Linked DNA regions of Drosophila melanogaster. The protein of the gene in region 1 purifies or fractionates together with the protein of each later gene. This does not show direct contact. Each region holds a gene or a part of one and is shown in the gene's direction. Other genes may lie near its edges. The genes, in order: Trap1, clu, Hsdl2 and CG10887.

What was found.
Region 2: the proteins of Trap1 (region 1) and clu purify together in Drosophila melanogaster (affinity purification with mass spectrometry, with the first as the bait; one large-scale study listed by BioGRID). This does not show direct contact.
Region 3: the proteins of Trap1 (region 1) and Hsdl2 purify together in Drosophila melanogaster (affinity purification with mass spectrometry, with the first as the bait; one large-scale study listed by BioGRID). This does not show direct contact.
Region 4: the proteins of Trap1 (region 1) and CG10887 purify together in Drosophila melanogaster (affinity purification with mass spectrometry, with the first as the bait; one large-scale study listed by BioGRID). This does not show direct contact.

What each region holds. Positions count from the first base shown.
Region 1 is NT_033778.4:6,633,097-6,637,902, reverse strand, and holds Trap1 (Trap1), read left to right. Parts: upstream 1-1,640; 5' UTR 1,641-1,915; coding exon 1,916-2,048; intron 2,049-2,124; coding exon 2,125-3,892; intron 3,893-3,954; coding exon 3,955-4,129; 3' UTR 4,130-4,256; downstream 4,257-4,806. Other genes in the region: Bap170 (brahma associated protein 170kD), read right to left, coding at 1-908, 973-1,214.
Region 2 is NT_033778.4:16,184,803-16,189,642, forward strand, and holds the start of clu (clueless), read left to right. Parts: upstream 1-1,781; 5' UTR 1,782-2,120; coding exon 2,121-2,334; intron 2,335-3,086; exon of another isoform or gene 3,087-3,352; intron 3,353-3,775; coding exon 3,776-4,840. Other genes in the region: CG8441 (uncharacterized protein), read right to left, coding at 362-949, 1,010-1,183. UniProt on the Drosophila melanogaster protein: mRNA-binding protein involved in proper cytoplasmic distribution of mitochondria.
Region 3 is NT_033777.3:27,675,669-27,679,545, forward strand, and holds Hsdl2 (hydroxysteroid dehydrogenase like 2), read left to right. Parts: upstream 1-1,853; 5' UTR 1,854-2,015; coding exon 2,016-3,254; 3' UTR 3,255-3,345; downstream 3,346-3,877. Other genes in the region: unc80 (uncoordinated 80), read left to right, coding at 44-212, 273-937, 994-1,227; CG12883 (uncharacterized protein), read left to right, coding at 3,742-3,762, 3,833-3,877.
Region 4 is NT_033777.3:20,113,284-20,117,675, forward strand, and holds CG10887 (uncharacterized protein), read left to right. Parts: upstream 1-1,554; 5' UTR 1,555-1,655; coding exon 1,656-1,695; intron 1,696-1,753; coding exon 1,754-1,793; intron 1,794-1,849; coding exon 1,850-3,800; 3' UTR 3,801-3,856; downstream 3,857-4,392.

The sequences.
Region 1 (4,806 bases):
TCTGAAGCACTCGCTGGCCCATGCGCTCATCAGTCCCGTTGCTCCGGCGCAGATTAAGGAAGTGCAACTCGTCGCAGGCCGCCAGCAGTTCACTTCGAGCGGCAGAGTTCTCACCGTCCTCCTTACTTATCAGACCGTTGTCCAGCCAGGCCTGCTCATCCGTGTAGAGCTCTAGGACCTGTGGCTTGTCGTGTAGCAGGTCGCGCCAGAAACTGAGCTGCGAATGGTGTCGAACCTCGGTGTAACTGTGCTGGAACAGCTGGCGCATGGTGAAGTCAGCGTAGACTCCCAGGTGAGCAAGCAGCACATCAAGCAGTTTGGGGCACTCGGACAGCTGTAGGGTGTGGCGCGCCTCGTTGGCCATAAGTGTGCACACGTTTATGGCGAAGTCCTGCTCATTGGGCAGCGGAGAAAGCAGAGACAACAGCAGCTTCTCGTAGCTGCTGTGTCGGTGCAACTGCGTGGACATCTTGTACTGTCGGCGTCGTTCCACATTAACAGAGTGCTGGCGCTGGTTGTAGGCCATTGGCACCGCCGGCAACGTAGAGTGTGCTGATCCAAAAATGCTTCCTAGGCCACCACCGGCGCCAGCCAAAAAACGAGATCGCGAGCGTCCACCGCCCATTTCTACAATCTCAATAGCCGCCTCCAGAGCCTCCATCTTGTCTGGATCCTCGCCAAAGAAGTTCAACCGTTCGTACTTGTCCAGGTAGCGTCTGTAGATGTGCTTGATACTAGCCGTTCCGTTAACGCAGCGCTCCCGCAATGTCTCCATGGCGCTGTACACCTCGTCCCACTCGTCCCGCATGGTCACCTTATTAAAGCCGCCTCGTTCGGTTACCTCGTTGTACAGCTTGTACAGGTCGACATGCTTACCGCTGATCCTGGCGGGCTGTGTCAATGGAGTGCTGTTTGGGCAGAGGGAAAGTGGGTTAGGTCGTCTCCAAATACAGGAGAGCCGCGGCAACTCACCCGCGTCGTTCGTGAAACTGCTGCAGGTCCCTCCAGAACTCCTCCGGAGGTGACGGCGGCATCTCCTCGACCTTCTCCGGCATGATCTGTAATTGGGCGGGATTCTTGGCGCGAAGGGGAGTCGCTGGGGCCGCAATCTTGCCCGGCGTCTGTAGATCGCCCGGCTGAGTGGCGCTGTTTACGGCGGCAGCAGGCAGCGACTGAAGCAGCACCCGTACGTTGTCGATGGTGGTGGCGCTCATGATTGGATCTTTTTGTGTGGTGGCGTGAATGGGAAACACTTAACACATGATATTCTAATAGTAAGACACGCAGATGCTAATTAAAATTATTTAAAAAACTCAACAAAAATTACAACGCGACGCTGACGCGCTACAGCAGAGTTGCATTCACGAGCAGGGCTGTCAGCAATTGGACCGTATATCGATATGAGGTATCGATGTCTTTCAATATTGGATTTGATTTAACTTTCTTTTATTTACTGTCTTCTTTGAAGACATTTGTTATTTCATAACTCAAAAATCAGCATCCAATCTACATTGGCTAAACAATGAAACGTAATCTGTTCTTAATTCCTTCAGAATTTACGGTTTGTTGTTCACAGTTGAAACATCTCTATCTCTCTCTCTCTCTCTTGCTGATCGAAATCTTTAGAGAACTAGTCAGCTGGCAGTTTGCTTCAGTTTTGAGCTGAATAATGTGATGAAACTGAACTCTCCATTACATGTAGTAACTCTTATTCAAACCAACTAAGCATTTGAGTCCAAAATTCATTACAGCCCAGAAATTTGGAAGAAAACACCGTTATGAGTAGGGTTTTACCAGTTTACTATTATCGAATACTTACAATCGATTGATTTGGCTACACTGTGCACACATGTGCGCTGGAACAAACTTCGTAGTTGGGTAACATTAAAGTTGGGCAAAACATTAAAACAACAAGATGTCTGTACGAGCGATGGGAGTGCTGGGCCAGGCGTGCCGCCTCGGTCGCTGTGCCCAAGTGTTGAGGCAGAGTCACCGATCCGCCCCAGCAGCGTTCAATATCACCATTGGATCGCAGCATTCGCCGGGTGGTAAGCACTGAATATAAGCAACCGGCTCCCCGGAGGGATTCTTATGTTTACATAACACTCATCTTTTCACTTGCAGCTCTCTCGCTCCGTCGCTACTCCACGGAGACCAAGCAGGCATCAGGATCAGTGGTGGACAAGCATGAGTTCCAGGCAGAGACGCGCCAGCTACTTGACATTGTGGCTCGTTCCTTATACTCCGACCACGAGGTCTTTGTGCGCGAGCTTATTTCGAATGCAAGCGATGCGCTGGAGAAATTTCGGTACACCTCGTTGAGCGCTGGAGGCGAGAATCTGGCTGGAAAGGACCGGCCTCTGGAGATTCGTATCACCACCGACAAGCCACTGATGCAGCTAATCATCCAGGACACGGGCATCGGCATGACCAAGGAGGAGCTGGTCAGCAACCTGGGCACCATTGCACGCAGCGGCTCGAAGAAGTTCCTGGAGCAGATGAAGGGGACCCAGCAGGGAGCCAGCTCGGAGGCATCCTCGAACATTATTGGTCAGTTCGGCGTGGGCTTTTACTCTTCCTTCATTGTCGCCAATAAGGTGGAGGTGTTCACGAGGGCGGCTGTGCCTAATGCACCCGGACTGCGTTGGTCCACGGATGGCAGTGGAACCTACGAGATCGAAGAGGTGCCTGACGTTGAGTTGGGAACGCGAATCGTGCTTCATTTAAAGACCGATTGCCGTGAATATGCGGACGAGGAGAGGATCAAGGCGGTAATCAAGAAATACAGCAACTTTGTGGGCTCACCCATCTTGCTTAACGGAAAGCAGGCCAATGAGATCAAGCCTCTGTGGCTTCTTGAGCCACAAAGCATCAGCAAGGAGCAGCACCATGACTTCTATCGGTTCATTAGCAATAGCTTCGATGTCCCGCGCTTCACCTTACACTATAATGCTGACGTACCCTTGAGCATCCATGCACTGCTCTACTTCCCCGAAGGAAAGCCTGGTTTATTCGAGATGTCTCGGGACGGAAACACCGGTGTGGCTCTTTACACCCGCAAGGTGCTTATTCAGTCCAAGACTGAGCATCTGCTGCCCAAGTGGCTGCGTTTTGTAAAGGGTGTTGTCGACTCTGAGGACATTCCACTCAACCTGAGTCGCGAGCTGCTCCAGAACAGCAGCCTGATTCGCAAACTGTCCAGTGTGATTTCCACCCGCGTTATCCGTTTCCTGCAAGAGCGGTCCAAGAAGCAGCCAGAAGAGTACGAGGCCTTCTACCGGGACTATGGGCTTTTCCTGAAGGAAGGAATTGTAACCTCCAGCGACGCCTCCGAGAAAGAAGAAATAGCTAAACTTCTGCGTTTTGAATCCTCCAAGTCGGAGACCGCCAGTGGGCGCATGTCGCTGGAGGAGTACTACAACGCCGTTCCCGCAGAACAGCAGAATATTTACTACTTGGCAGCACCCAACCGCGTTCTTGCCGAGTCCTCGCCCTACTACGAGAGTCTGAAGAAGCGCAACGAGCTGGTGCTCTTCTGCTACGAACCCTATGATGAGCTGGTGCTCATGCAGCTGGGCAAGTTCAAAAGCAAAAAACTCGTTTCCGTGGAGAAGGAGATGCGCGAAGAGTCCAAGGAGACAACAGCGACCACCGACTTTGGCGAGGGCAGTCTGCTGCGCTCAGAGCTCGACACTTTGATTCCCTGGCTGGAGGAGGAGCTCAGGGGGCAGGTTATTAAAGTAAAAGCCACCACTCGTCTAGACACCCATCCCTGTGTAATCACCGTAGAGGAAATGGCTGCCGCTCGCCACTTCATTCGCACCCAGAGTCACCAGGTGCCAGAACAGAATCGATTTGCCCTGCTTCAACCAGAACTGGAGATCAACCCAAAGTGAGTCCTGCTCCTCACGTTTCTTTCGTTGCTTTCTTATTTTGCATTTTTCCTTACCTTAGGCACCCCATCATCAAGAAGCTTAACAAGCTCCGTGAGAGCGACAAGGATCTGGCCCAACTTATCGCCAAGCAGCTCTTTGCAAACGCAATGGTGGGCGCCGGTTTGGCTGAGGATCCCCGCATGCTGCTAACCAACATGAACACTCTGCTATCGCGGGCCCTGGAGAAATACTAGAGTGCGCCGTAGAAGGAACAGTGTAGATATACCGACTATGTAATATTAATTTCTATAATTAATTTCATAAAACGTGTTGAAATAGTTTTAAATATGTATAATTAAACGTTTTAAATATTTTAATTCCAAAAATGAAGGGGAATATAATTTTTTCGGGCTTAATTTTAACTTTGTGTGCCTAGTGTGTGCACAATAATGGGGCTTACACTAGGCATTTTATACAAAGAGTTTTTGCATAAACGTATTCTTTGTTCAAAAGCTCCATAGAAACCAATATTTCTAAAAAAAAGTGTAAATAAAATATGAATTTGTTACATTATACGTACTATAAAAAACGTTTTGTAAGCTATTTTATAATAGCTAATACCGTTCTTGGGACCCATTTAGTTCGAGCAATTGAATTTTTCTATGGTACAAAAAGATGTTTTCCATACAAGTTCATGAACGAATTGACCAAGCTATCAGAAATATAAAATAAAATATTAATTTTGATGTGCTTATGTTCTTCAATTTCGTGCATCCTTTTAAAATCGGTGTGAAAGCAATGCTTTAATTGTATTGGCTCTAGTGGAAACATTGTTAGTGCATTTTGACGTCCATCAGGTGGCAGCGCTGGCACAACTATCGCCGAAAATCCGCCCCCGTGACTAACGTTTATAAAAGCAAAGCATAATAAC
Region 2 (4,840 bases), 9.6 Mb from region 1:
GTTTATACCCAGAACTAAAAATGGTGGATTTCTGTCAAGGGTATAATTAATGTATTGCCTGCGATGTCAAATTTTGAAAGCATTTATTATACTCAAAAATGCAACATTTGATGCACCTTATAAATGTAAGACAACAAAAAACAAAATGCGCACTAAAGCCACGACAACTCAATGCATAATTCGCAAAACGCTTTCTTCTCAACCAAGCTGCTTTAGAAAGATGGCCTCAGATGAAAACCCCTAGATACTGGCGATGTATAGAAATCGCTTAATATATATATATTACAAAAGTACTATAAATAAAACCGCACTGTGTTTTATTACTCTAAACGGTTTATTGATAGGAATAGAACAGGAGGTACTAAGGCACAGGCTTGTCTTGTTCTTGATCCACATTTTGGGATTCCTTTGTAGCTTCGGTGCTATCTAATTCCACTGCATTTGTGTCCTCTGCGCTTTTCGCTTCTGTATTTGAATTCACTGCCTCTTCATTCGAAGTTTCTTGGGTGTTATTGTCGTCGGATTCCTTGGATGCCACCTGTTGTCCTTCCTCAGGGCTACTTTCTGCCTTTTCTTCTGTGGGCTCTTCCTCGGAATCTGTGTTACTATCCTCTGAGGCTTCCTTAGCCAGTGGCTTCTTGTCCTCTCTCGGCTTTTTCGCCCTCTGTTTTCTCTTCAACCGTTTGGCTCGTTTCTTAGCAGTCTTTTCTTCGGCCGCGCGTCTGTTGTCGTCCAACTTCTGCTGGTAAGCTTCATCTGCTGCTTCGCGGGCACTCTGGTTCTGGATGTTCTTCTGGCGGGCGTACTCCTTGCGTCGCAAGTGGCGGTACACATGGAACTCGCCGGAACCCGCTCCAGCACTGCTTCCCATCACATTCCGCACGAACGTGGGCACCGAGGACATGAAGTCCCGTTCGCGACGCTGCTCCGGTATGACCACGGGCTTATCCTGGCAATAAAAGGTTTATTAATATGAATGTCCACCCAGCTTTCCAATGCAAACACATACCGGATTCTTCATGAGCTTCTCCAGCTTCAGCCTCTGTAGATCTGTCGCGGTTTTGATGAACGGCCGCAGAGGCTTGTCCTTCTCATCGGAATCGCTTTCTCCAGATCCCGCATTCTTTTTCTTTTTCTTTGCCTTCTGTTCGGGCTCTTTTACCAAATTCTTTATAAGCGACATGTTTGTTTGGTTAAAAACAGTATTTTATGTGTGGCTGTATTACAAGTCGTAAAAAATACACACCGAATTAAAAAAAAAACTTAACGGGGACTATGCTTGATCTGTAAAATTGTATGCGTCAAATTAGAGTCGATAAGTTAGCGGCGATGGCGGAACGGTGGAATTTCAGGAAAATTTCAATTTTTGAGATAATTTCATAACAGTAGGTCCAGCTATGAACCAACCCATCCTTAAAACAGGCCCTTTACATTAATTAATTTTTAAAAATTGTTGAATAGAAATTCACCTTCAAATAAAATAAAAAAAACCTACCCATGTTACAAATTTCACTGTTCCTCAACGACGCTAATATGACGCACTTTATAAAAAGGCTTAAAAATTTGTTTTAAATAAAAATAAGTTTGTATTGTGCATAAATTACCTTTTATTAAACAGAACACAATTGTTGTTAAAATAAATGCAATCATATATATTGGTATCGTTTTTGCGTGTGCATCCCTATCACTAGTTGTTGTCCATCTGCAATTATACACAGCAAATAACTAAATACTAATTAAAATACTGCAACCAAGCCAATGCCAGCGGTATATTTAAATGTTCACCCGGTGGTCACACTCTCAGCCGTTAACAACATAACGCGTTATTTTCTAGCGAATCGGCCGATTTATATCCTCGATAAGTAATGTGCTGAAAAGAACAGAACTAGCAAAGACCCACTTGTCATAGATGCGTACGAGATCGTTAACCAAACAACAATCACGTTCGCAATCGACCAGAAAGACACTGAAAATCGAACCGAAATCACCCCGAGCTCGGCGAGCGGTTAGAGTTGTGTAACACGGACGGACGGGCCCAAAAAAAAAAGAAACGTGAACTAGAACTCTGTGTCTCCTCCGCTGGTTTTGTTGAGTTTTTGGCGAGCAGGTGAAACAAAAGCATGGCGCTTGAAACGGAGGCGAAGAATTCAAATGCAACGGCCACGGGCGATGCAACAGCAACAGCAACAAAGGCCAGCGGCAAGGCCAAGGAGAACAACAACACGGCCGGCGGCAAAAAGAACCTGAATCCGAATTCGAATCAGCAGAATTCGAATCAGAACTTGGTCAATGGCAATGGCACGGCTGCCGACGGGCCGGCTGCGAAGAAGAAAGGTGCGTTTAACTTTCCGCCTACGCCCATGTTCAACCAACCAATCAACCACCCACCCACCCACACACCAACCCATCACCACCTCCTCTTAGCTTTGCTGCCTTGGAAACTGCCTCAATATATTATTTGCCACAAAAGCCAATCACATAACATTTTTAACATTACGTAATGGGCTTTTTCTTCCCTATAATGCCTTAAAAGCGGCGCCCGTTGTCTATGGCTGCCCCTCCACCCCCTTTTACGAGCCTTCCCTCTCCCCCTCTCTCCATAAACCGCGTGGGTTACAATTGCAATCGTAAATGTGTGTGTGTGTATTATTGGAGTTAAGTGCGTGTGTGAGAACTGCAAGTGTGAGGCTCCCTATCTCTCTCGCTCTTTCTCTTCCTCTTGGCATGGCAACGCACATGTTATTAACCCGGCAACGGCGACGAAATGTTCATTAACCCCCCGGGCGGATTTCTTGTTGCGTTTAACCTACAATTAACACGTGCGCGGCCCGAAATGCATGCACTTAACACACGCAAATTGTTCGACAATTATGTAAATCATGTTTTCTATCCGTAGACGCATCGCTCTACACTTTGTCTCCTTCTCTCCGAATTCCTTGCGGTTAATGAACATTGTACTTATCACTTTTGCTTTCTCCTCTCCCCACTCTCTTTGCCTCTCTCATTCTCTCTCCCTAGCTCTATCTCTATGTATCTCACAGTGCTGTAATTTAGTATACGGCTGTTGAAATTAGCATGGTCGTGTTAAACCCATTCCGTTTTCCTGAGAGATCGAAAGGAGATTGGATTATTCGGTGGACTGTTCGTTCGTACGGACTCCGAACGAACCCGGCCCCTTTGGCCTTATCAGCTCGCTTTTCTCTTTCTGTTTGTTTTTCTACTGTTTTGTTGTAAATGTATGTACATATGCCTTTATATGTATATGCAAGCACACAGCTTGCCGGCGAACACAGACAAACTGAGCGACAAAAGTGTGCGGACAGTATTGTTATGTAAAAATCGGAGCCTGGAGGTAGAGACACCTCTTTTTAAATTATTATATATTGCCAGACAATTTTAGAAAAGAAACGTGTAACGTATTTGCATTACCTTTAATTCTGTCACCATTTTTCAAATAATATCAAGGTTTAATTATTAAACTAGATATAAACCACTATTTATAAATTAAGAATGGTAAACATTAAATTCTAACATAAACTTGGCAGCATTGCTTGGAAATTTAAATTCCTAAGAATAATCTTTTGTTTTTAAAAACATACTAATGAACCATAATAAATAAATAACGGATTTATACAAGATTCTTCTGAGAGACATGGAAACAAAAGTCGGTCCAAAGTTCACGTTTCTCCCTATACATCGAATAGGTTACACAATGCTCCATATGCCTTTCCCAATATTGACTAACAACAAATTACTTCTTCATCGCCCCATGTAGGCAAGAAGAACCGCAACAAAAGCCCAACTGAACCCACAACCGAAGCCGTTCTGAGCAACGGACACGCCGAGAAGCCCACAGTGGTGGATGCAGTTGAGGACAATGCCGATACCAATGCCAATGTGGAGAAACCGCAGGAAGGAGGAGCACCGGATGCTGAGGCTGATGGTGATGACATTGATCTGGACGCTCTGCAGGACATTGGCATCACGGTGAACATCAGCAGTCCCGGCGCCGATCTGCTCTGCGTGCAGCTGTCCAGCATGGAGCTGGTGCAGGAAATCCACCAGCTGCTGATGGACCGCGAAGAGACGTGCCATCGTACATGCTTCTCGCTGCAGCTGGACAACGTGACGCTCGACAATTTCGCCGAACTCAAGTCAATCAATAACCTTGAGCAGGGCTCGACGATCAAAGTGGTAGAGGAGCCGTACACCATGCGGGAGGCCCGTATTCATGTGCGCCATGTCCGTGATCTTCTCAAAAACCTTGACCCGGCCGACGCGTACAATGGCATTGACTGTACTTCGCTGACCTACTTAAACACGATCACTCAGGGTGATTTGCTGGACAAGAAGAGGACGCGACCGGACTCCGTGGATTGCACTCCGCCGGAGTATGTGACTCCGGGTGTAAGTGATCCGCCAATTCTGCCATTGCATCCAAATGTGAAGAACGCCAAGGGACCGCAGGCTCTCAAGGTACTGACTACATCCGCCTGGAACCCGCCACCCGGTCCTCGCAAGCTGCATGGTGACCTCATGTATCTGTACGTTGTCACCATGGAGGATAAACGATTCCACATCTCAGCCTGTTCCAAGGGCTTCTTCATCAACCAGTCGACAGACGACACCTTTAATCCCAAGCCCGACAATCCAAGCCACCTCAGCCACTCGCTGATCGATCTGCTTTCCCACATATCACCATCGTTCCGACGTGCCTTCCAGACCATCCAGAAGCGACGCACCATGCGTCATGCCTTCGAGCGTGTAGCCACGCCCTATCAGGTGTACCAGTGGGCAGCTCCCATCCTGGAGCACACAGTGGACGCTATTCGTGCCGAGG
Region 3 (3,877 bases), on another chromosome or scaffold:
AATTTAATCGAATCGAACTACATTAACGATTGATATCTTCCAGATATCGCAGCCACCCATTGGGGATCACGAGCGACACATGCAGTTTATCATCCGGGAACGATTGCGCGGAACACCGCCGCAGGGCGGGATTAAGTCTAAGGGAGCTCTGCTGCTGGAACTGGCCAGGGAGCTGCGGGACCTGCGCGACGAGCTGGAGGAGAAACGCTACGGTAAGAGGCCAAAGCGGACGGAATCCAAATCCTTACGCCACACACCCACTCATGTTTCAGTCTCCACAGATCGCGAGAGTTCCGAGCAGAAGAAGAGCGACACACCGGCGGCAACTAGTGCGGCTGAAGCCCACAAGTCGCAGCAAAGACCTTCACTCATATCTATCTTCACAGGAACCACCACGGGCCAGGCCTCGCACTCCCACGTCTCCGCCGTGCCGATCGACTCGCGCAGCGGATCCGGCGGGATCTGCACGCCCAGCGACACGCTGTCGCAGCAGACGCTGCACCCGCCGCGGGAGTCGCTCTCGAGCAGCTCCACGGGCCGGGATCCGCACACGACGACCAGCGAGAGCCAGAGCGGCGAGGCGGACGCAGGATCGGCGCCCACGCTGGTGGGGGCCACGCCGAGCGGATCGGGACATGGATCGGGCGGTGGTATTGGTACCGGTGCCGCCTCCGCCGTACCCTCGCATCTCTCGCATTCGCAGTCGTTGCAGCAGGCTCCCTTCAAGGCCCAGCCACCCAAGCTGCGCTTCGTTTCGTCCGTGGAGTTCCGGCACTCATCCGGGGAGACATCCACCACACCGCTCTCGCCGGAGAGCCCGGCGGAGGATAGTTCCGGCGATCATACCCGCTCACGCCTGCAGCGATCGAAGGCCGCCAGCCGAAAGACCTTTAGACTTAAGCGCAGTCGCCTGACGCCCATGGAACCACCCAGCATTGTAAGTGGACCAGAGATGTTTTAGCCCTGAAATTCCCATACATATGTCCTTCAAAGGTCACCTCGCAGGAGGAGCAGGCCCCGCAGGCGCAGGCAAAGACCCTGGGCGAGATTTCCTGGGACTCCGTTTCACAGACATCCTCCACCTCTGGCTATCGGGACAACAACAGCCTGCAGACTGGCCTGCTCTCGCCGGATGGATCCTTGGGTGGGTTGACCCTGGGCCGCTCACCCTCGCAGCACTCGCTATTAATGGTCTTCGAGGGACAGGACGAGGACACCCTCATTTAACAATCACAGAACGGCGACCGGGCCTACGAACTTTAGAACCCATATGGTTGCACTTATTAAAAGGACTTTGGAGGACTTAGTTAAACATGCAGCAGAAGGTAGTTGTTGGGCGTTGAGTTTTATAGATGAATCGTTGTTTTCCATTGTGTGCCATTTTTGTATAAGATAGGTAGAGTTAGAACTAATAAAAGTACTTGGTAGCCGTTCTAAGTTTTACTCCGCATTTTTGATGAGAAGTACTGACGATGTAAAAAGTGGCGCTGGAATTTGAATTTGATGACATGGCTACACTCAGCTACCAACGGCTTATCGATAAGTACCGGCTATCAGTATCGAACTTAGAGATGTGATCACTTGTCGTGTTTTCGAACCAGTTTTCGGACAAAAAACATGATTTTGCTAGTTGTGAATTTATAAAAACTGATAATAATTGAAATATTTACTAGTTAATCTTTTTTTTGTTTCTTGCAAATTATCTACGAATTAACTTTAACTAACATAAAAATTCGCCACTATCAGTGCGTTTATTTTTCAAATAAATATGTCGAGTGCTGCCATATTTTTGCAAGTCAAAGGCGAAGGTTGCCACACCGGGCACAGGAGAAGACAGTGTGCGTGTGGAGTGGTGAGTGTGTGTGCGTGCATGAAACTCGACGACTTGTTGTGTGGATCAAATCGGTTGAATCTGCACTTTGGACTTTCTCTTGGAATCTTCGATTGAGAACACTGTCACCGTTACCGGTGTGAATCCAGATCTCACAGCGAACGGTCTTTAAACTTTGGACAGGATGATCAACACAGGAAAACTAGCCGGACGGACCCTGTTCATCACGGGAGCCTCTCGAGGAATTGGCAAGGAGATTGCTCTAAAGGCGGCCCGCGATGGAGCCAACATTGTGGTGGCGGCCAAGACGGCGGAACCGCATCCCAAGCTGCCGGGCACCATCTACTCGGCTGCGGAGGAGATCGAGAAGGCCGGCGGAAAGGCCTATCCCTGCGTTGTGGATGTGCGGGATGAGCAACAGGTGCGCAGCGCCGTTGAGGCCGCGGTGGCCAAGTTCGGTGGCATCGACATTGTGATCAATAACGCCAGCGCCATCTCGCTGACCAATACCCCGGATACGGACATGAAGCGCTACGACCTGATGCACAACATCAATACTCGAGGCACCTTTCTGGTGTCCAAGGTGTGCCTGCCGTACCTGAAGAAGAGCAACCACGCCCACATTCTCAACATCTCGCCGCCGCTGAGCATGAAGCCCAAGTGGTTTGGCCCGCATGTGGCCTACACCATGGCCAAGTACGGTATGTCCATGTGTGTGCTCGGCATGGCCGCGGAGTTCAAGGACGAGGGAATCTCCGTCAACGCTCTGTGGCCGCGCACTGCCATTCACACGGCGGCCATCGAGATGCTGACGGGTCCAGATTCCGCCAAGTGGTCACGCAAGCCGGAGATCATGGCCGATGCCGCCTACGCAATCCTGACCCGTGAGCCCAGGCAGTCTACTGGTCAGTTCTTTGTGGACGACGAGGTGCTGGAATCGGCGGGCATCACTGATCTCACCGAATACGCCTGCTTCCGCGAGAACGCCGACAAGCTGATGGTGGACTTCTTCGTGGAGGAGAAGGGAGCTCCGGTAGAGAATGAAGCTGCGGCAGAAGATGCTGCTGCTCCCGCAAGTGGAGGAGACGTCAAGATTCCGCAGCTGTTCCGGAAAATCGAATCTCTCCTCTCGCCCGAGATCGTCTCGAAGACGCAGGCTGTCTTCCAGTTCAACATCAGCGGCGCCGAGCAGGGCACCTGGTTCCTGGACCTGAAGAACGGCTCCGGATCCTGCGGTGCCGGAACGCCAACTGCCGCTCCCGACGCCACGCTCACCATGAACTCGAAGAACTTCTTCGACATGTTCTCGGGTAAACTGAAGGCGGCTCCCGCCTACATGACCGGCAAGCTGAAGATCAGCGGCGATTTCCAGAAGGCTCTCAAGCTGGAGAAGCTAATGAAGGCGCTCAAGTCCAAGCTGTAGGGTGCGATTGAGTGGCTGAGTTTTCTATTGTTTACAAGCGTTTCAGTTTATGTATGTATGTATTTTCCTAATAAAGTATGAGATTCCTTAGAAATTCCAAAAGCCAGCAATTAATCGATGATCGAGTAGTAGTTATAGTTGTCATAGTGCGTTGTTAATGTGGGAATAATTCATTGTTTAATGAATTAAATTAAAATAAATTAATATTTTGGAATAGCGCGGGCTATTCGCAATTCAAATTCATTCAGACTGACCAGATCTAGTTCATCCAAGGGAATCGTTGTATTTTCGGCACACCTCTGCGCAATCACACTGCCCTATTTGTTGACCAATAAAATTCGTGGGTTAAAAATCGTGCCGGTCACAAGTAAAAAGCAATACAATAGGAAGTAAGAGTAAACAAGGTGTGGGTCCACCTGTCGTCAAGTGAACATAATCTATAAAGAGATACACCCAATTTAAGAGGCTGATACACCAAACATTCGAAATGGCCAGCAGTTCGAGCAAGGTGAGTAGAAACAAGGAAGAGGTGGGCAAGGAAGTCAATTACTCATCGGACTTTTGTGCGCTATCGCTAGAACAAGACCCTACAGCTGATAAGGTGCTTCTGCGGATGCAGTAAC
Region 4 (4,392 bases), on another chromosome or scaffold:
CTCATGGTCATTCCGTAGTCGGACAATACCACGCTTAGTGGCATAAATAAATTCGCCTTGCTTGGCCACTGCAATCTTAAGTGGAGGCACAACCTCCACACTGTCGGTATACAGCGACTCATCATTTATAAGATGGTCACTAGCACCAGAATCAAGGACAAACCCGCAGTTGTCCATCACTGAAGTATTATTCACTTCTTTTACCATAAACGCAATGCCGTGTGATGTTGCAGTTTGAACTTGTTTTTCATTTTCTTTATTTTTATTATTTAATATTCTTTTATAATGGAAACAATCTTTTTTAATGTGGCCTTCTCTGCCACAGTGGTGACACTTGACTTTATACTTTGAATTTCCCTTGAATATTTTCTTTGGTTTAGTTACCCGATTTTTAAACAAATTATTTTTATAAGTGTTATTATTGTTGTGCACGATCGCGTTCATAACTTTCTTGCTTGTATCGTTGTGGTCATTTTTAATTTTAATTTCTTGATCCAGCAATCTATTTTTCACAAACGCCAATGTCAAATTTTCTTCAGATAATGTCTCTATCGCTGTAATAATTCCATCGTAACACGAAGGCAATGTGATCAGTAGATGAGAAATTTTATCCATCTCTTCTATTTTTGCACCAGCTGCCAACAATTCACTTATAAGTTCGTCAAAAATATGAAAATGGCTTAATAGTGACATCTCACTTGATAGCTTCAGAGAAAGCAAACGTTTTCGCAGCGCCAGTTGCGACGCCAAACTTTTTCGTTCATAAACGGCGTCCAAATTCTCAAGAATCTGACGCGCCGTAATGTCGCTTGTTGCGAAATTTAAAAACGAGTCGCTTAGGTACTCTATTATTGTACTTTTTGCACAACGCTCTGCCTTTTTCCAGGAGTCATCTACCTCGTTAGGCATTAAACCATCAACTACTTTAAGCACATCTTGCTCGGCTAAAAGAGCCCTAATTCTAAATTTCCAAATCGCGTACTTCTCGCCATCAAACGGCTTAATATTACGTTTAGCCTTGTCCATTTTTCACTCAAATTCTGAGAAGGAAATAATTTCACAAGAATGTGAAAAAAAAAGCTATTTCACAAGAATGTGAAAAAATGCTATTTCACAATTTATTTTCACAATCTTTAATTCACAATTTAATTGTTTATTAGGCATGGACTGGGCCCATAACCTGTTGTAATTTATAATTTATATTTCCTTTCTTAATAAATAAATAAATAGTCAAGTTTATGTTTGAGTTTTATGATTTATATTTTAAGTTATTTCAACTGCAACACCAGCACCACGACCTACTCACAGCAAAAAACGTACAAGAAGGAAAGAAGGAATAAAAAGAGTGGTATTCTCTTACAATATGTTTTATGGCATAAAAGGTGTGGCCATTCATATCAAATATAAAGTAGTGTTGTTTAACGTTATTTTTGTAGGTTGAATAGTATATTCCAACAGTTTTAAACCAATTAAAACAGTAGGGGAACAACACTGATTGTTAGAAAAGCTGACAACTCTTGCCCAGACAACTCTGTCAAACAATCGATAAATCAGTCACTTGGCTCGGCTGTCATTACGTAAAAAACCATATAGTTTTTTTTCTGTGCTGCTTGTGAAGAAATTGTGTTCCACTAACTCTTCGCCTTACGCTAAAAATGGCTGACCCCAATTTGCACGACAATCAAGTAATAAAAGGTTTGTAGTCTATAGAATATTAATAAAAATTGAATTATTATCTACGCTTTTACTTTAGATGGTGAATCTTCCGAAAGCTGGCCTGCATTCAATAGGAGGTTGGTTTAGGTACATATATTCTGCAGAACTTAGTAATCCCATATGGCTTTTCCAGGAGCCCGAATCCCTCTTTCTCCAGCGTTGATCAACAAGGAAATAAAACTAAGGCACGAAGGCAGCACCAAAGCCGTTCACATTCTTTTCACTCAACAGCAAATAGTGTTCCTGAATCGCAGGGACCTCTTGAATCTCGATCTGATCTGAACGCCAAGACATCATCGAAAAGCGAACGACCATATATTTCCACATCCAATTCAAGCTGGACCTCTGAATCCAGCTCCGGAAGTCCACCAGATTCAGGAGAATCGTCTTCGTTTTCGACTTCATCTTCGCTTTCATCATCATTATTATGTGCTCCAGAACCGAAATCTATTAACTGGAGCAACCCGAAATCTTCTTCAAATATCTCAAATGAAACCACAACTTCTGCGGGACAGGTTGGCGGCATTCCGAGCTTTTCAGAAAGTGATGACCAGGGAAGTGTCGACTCTGAAACAGTCTCTAACATCAGAAAATCAACTTCCCTCATAGAACTTAAAGACAATTTCAATACAATCATTGACGAAGATAATAATCAACAGCTCTCTAACGAGGGCAACATATTGTCCCCTGGGACAGTTTCTATTTCCAATTTTCCAAGCTCGAATGAAGTAGCAAATGGATTGATTGATGAGATGGAACAAGACCTACTCTCGAAGCAACATTCTACATCGACCCCAATAAATAAAAGTAATACAATGGAAAAAGAATTGCTCCCATTGCAATGTTCTTCATTTCCACCGACATCATCCGAAGGTAATATTTTAAAACCCAGGGTCAATCCTGTGCCATTAGGTCCCAGCTCAAATACAGAGTATGAATCAAATGGAAAAAATTACAACATTGAAAAAAGGTTGTCCCAATTGCGATATAGTTCAGATGAAAAGGAATCCGATGTCTTGTCGTATGCCTCTTCTGATAGTCTCGATTTAAATTTCGATTACGGTGATAATGCAAAGAATCAAAATGGAAATGGAATGAATGGAGAGGTAAATGGTGATAAGGAGTCGCAAGTTCTTGATATAGAAGAACAACGCAAACCTTTTGAAAAAGATGTAGCAGTTAAGTTCCAGACCACCATAACAACCCAAAATTGTGGACTTCTAAAAGGTCCATCGCAGTTTCTGAAGATGCCTTATTTCATACCCGTGGAATCCAAGGCATACGTGCCTGAAACCTTTCAGGATCGCATGACTAAGAATGATTTGAAGGACGAACAGTCACGCGAGGATTTCATAAATCGTCTAAAGGCAACTGTTAGGTGGCGCGAGAACGAAAACAAAACCAAGGAGTCCAATGCGAAAATTGTTCGTTGGTCCGATGGCAGCGAAACCTTTCATGTGGGCAACGAGGTTTTCGATATGATGCATCACCCGGTGACCGTTAACCAGAACCATTTGTATGTTCGCCTGGGCAGCTTCTACCAGCCTCAGGGTTTGATCCAGAATAAGTTGACTGTGCGTCCCATGCTGGACTCCAATTTCGGACAGAGTCATGTCCAGGCCTTGCGTAATCGAGCCACGAATAAGCCACAGTCTGGGTGCGTTAAGGTGATAACGAACATGGGCTCCAATCCCGAGCACGATCATGATCGGCGCATGAAGGAGGAATTGTCCAAGCTTCGCCAGGAGGGTCGTGAAAAGAATCGCGCGCTTATGAAGAATCATCCTCCGAAACGTGACAGGCACTATCAAGGCTCCGATCACAATGTGGCCAAAAACGCAGGGGCATTCGAAGAGGACGACGGTGAGGGTGCAGATTGCGAGACAAGCTCTGCATTGGAGGTTACGAATGAACCAATGCGCAGCGAGGAAGATACCGAAGATCATATGGACGATGATGCTTCTTGGAGCTCACCCAATTCCCAGGAGGAAGGAAAGCAATCGAGTTCCGAAGACGATCTCCCGATCGGAGGTGCTATCCGCAAGCCCACGCGTTTGGTCTATTCCGGATCAGATTCCGACTAAATATTAAATAGCCGCTAGATACGAAATCTCAATAAACATGTCATTAGCCAGCACGCAACAAAGCGTAGAGCCAGGAGTAGCTGCAACTGATATTTAATTAACAATTTCTCGCGCCCACAGTGGGTGTACGGCCATTGCCTTAATTAGGGGGCGTGGCAGCTGAGGCAGGCAGACATTGGTAGTCGGCGCAGAAATTGCTAAAGGTCACAATGGGGTCGTGATTGCAGCGCGGAGCACTCTAACCCAAATGCCATTGTCCGACTGCCAAACTGGCCGGCATACCAACGCCCAAAGCAATTAATGGTAGGTGCATTGGATTGCTGCCTGGTGTTTTTGGGAGATTGGACTCGTGACTCGGTGGGTCGTATGTGGGTTTTGGGGGCGGCAAGTGGGTGGCTTTCTGGTCAGCGGCTCAGTCGGACTTTGCTCTTTGATTCCAGCTTTATATTTGTCACCGCCATCTCAGGTAGCCGAAATAAGATACATACATACTTAGCTTGTTAAAAATTTGAAATTAATAAGTACTTTATTTGTTAGCAAAAGGCGTTATCCTGAAAATAGTTATACATTTGGTTGTTAACTATGATTATTT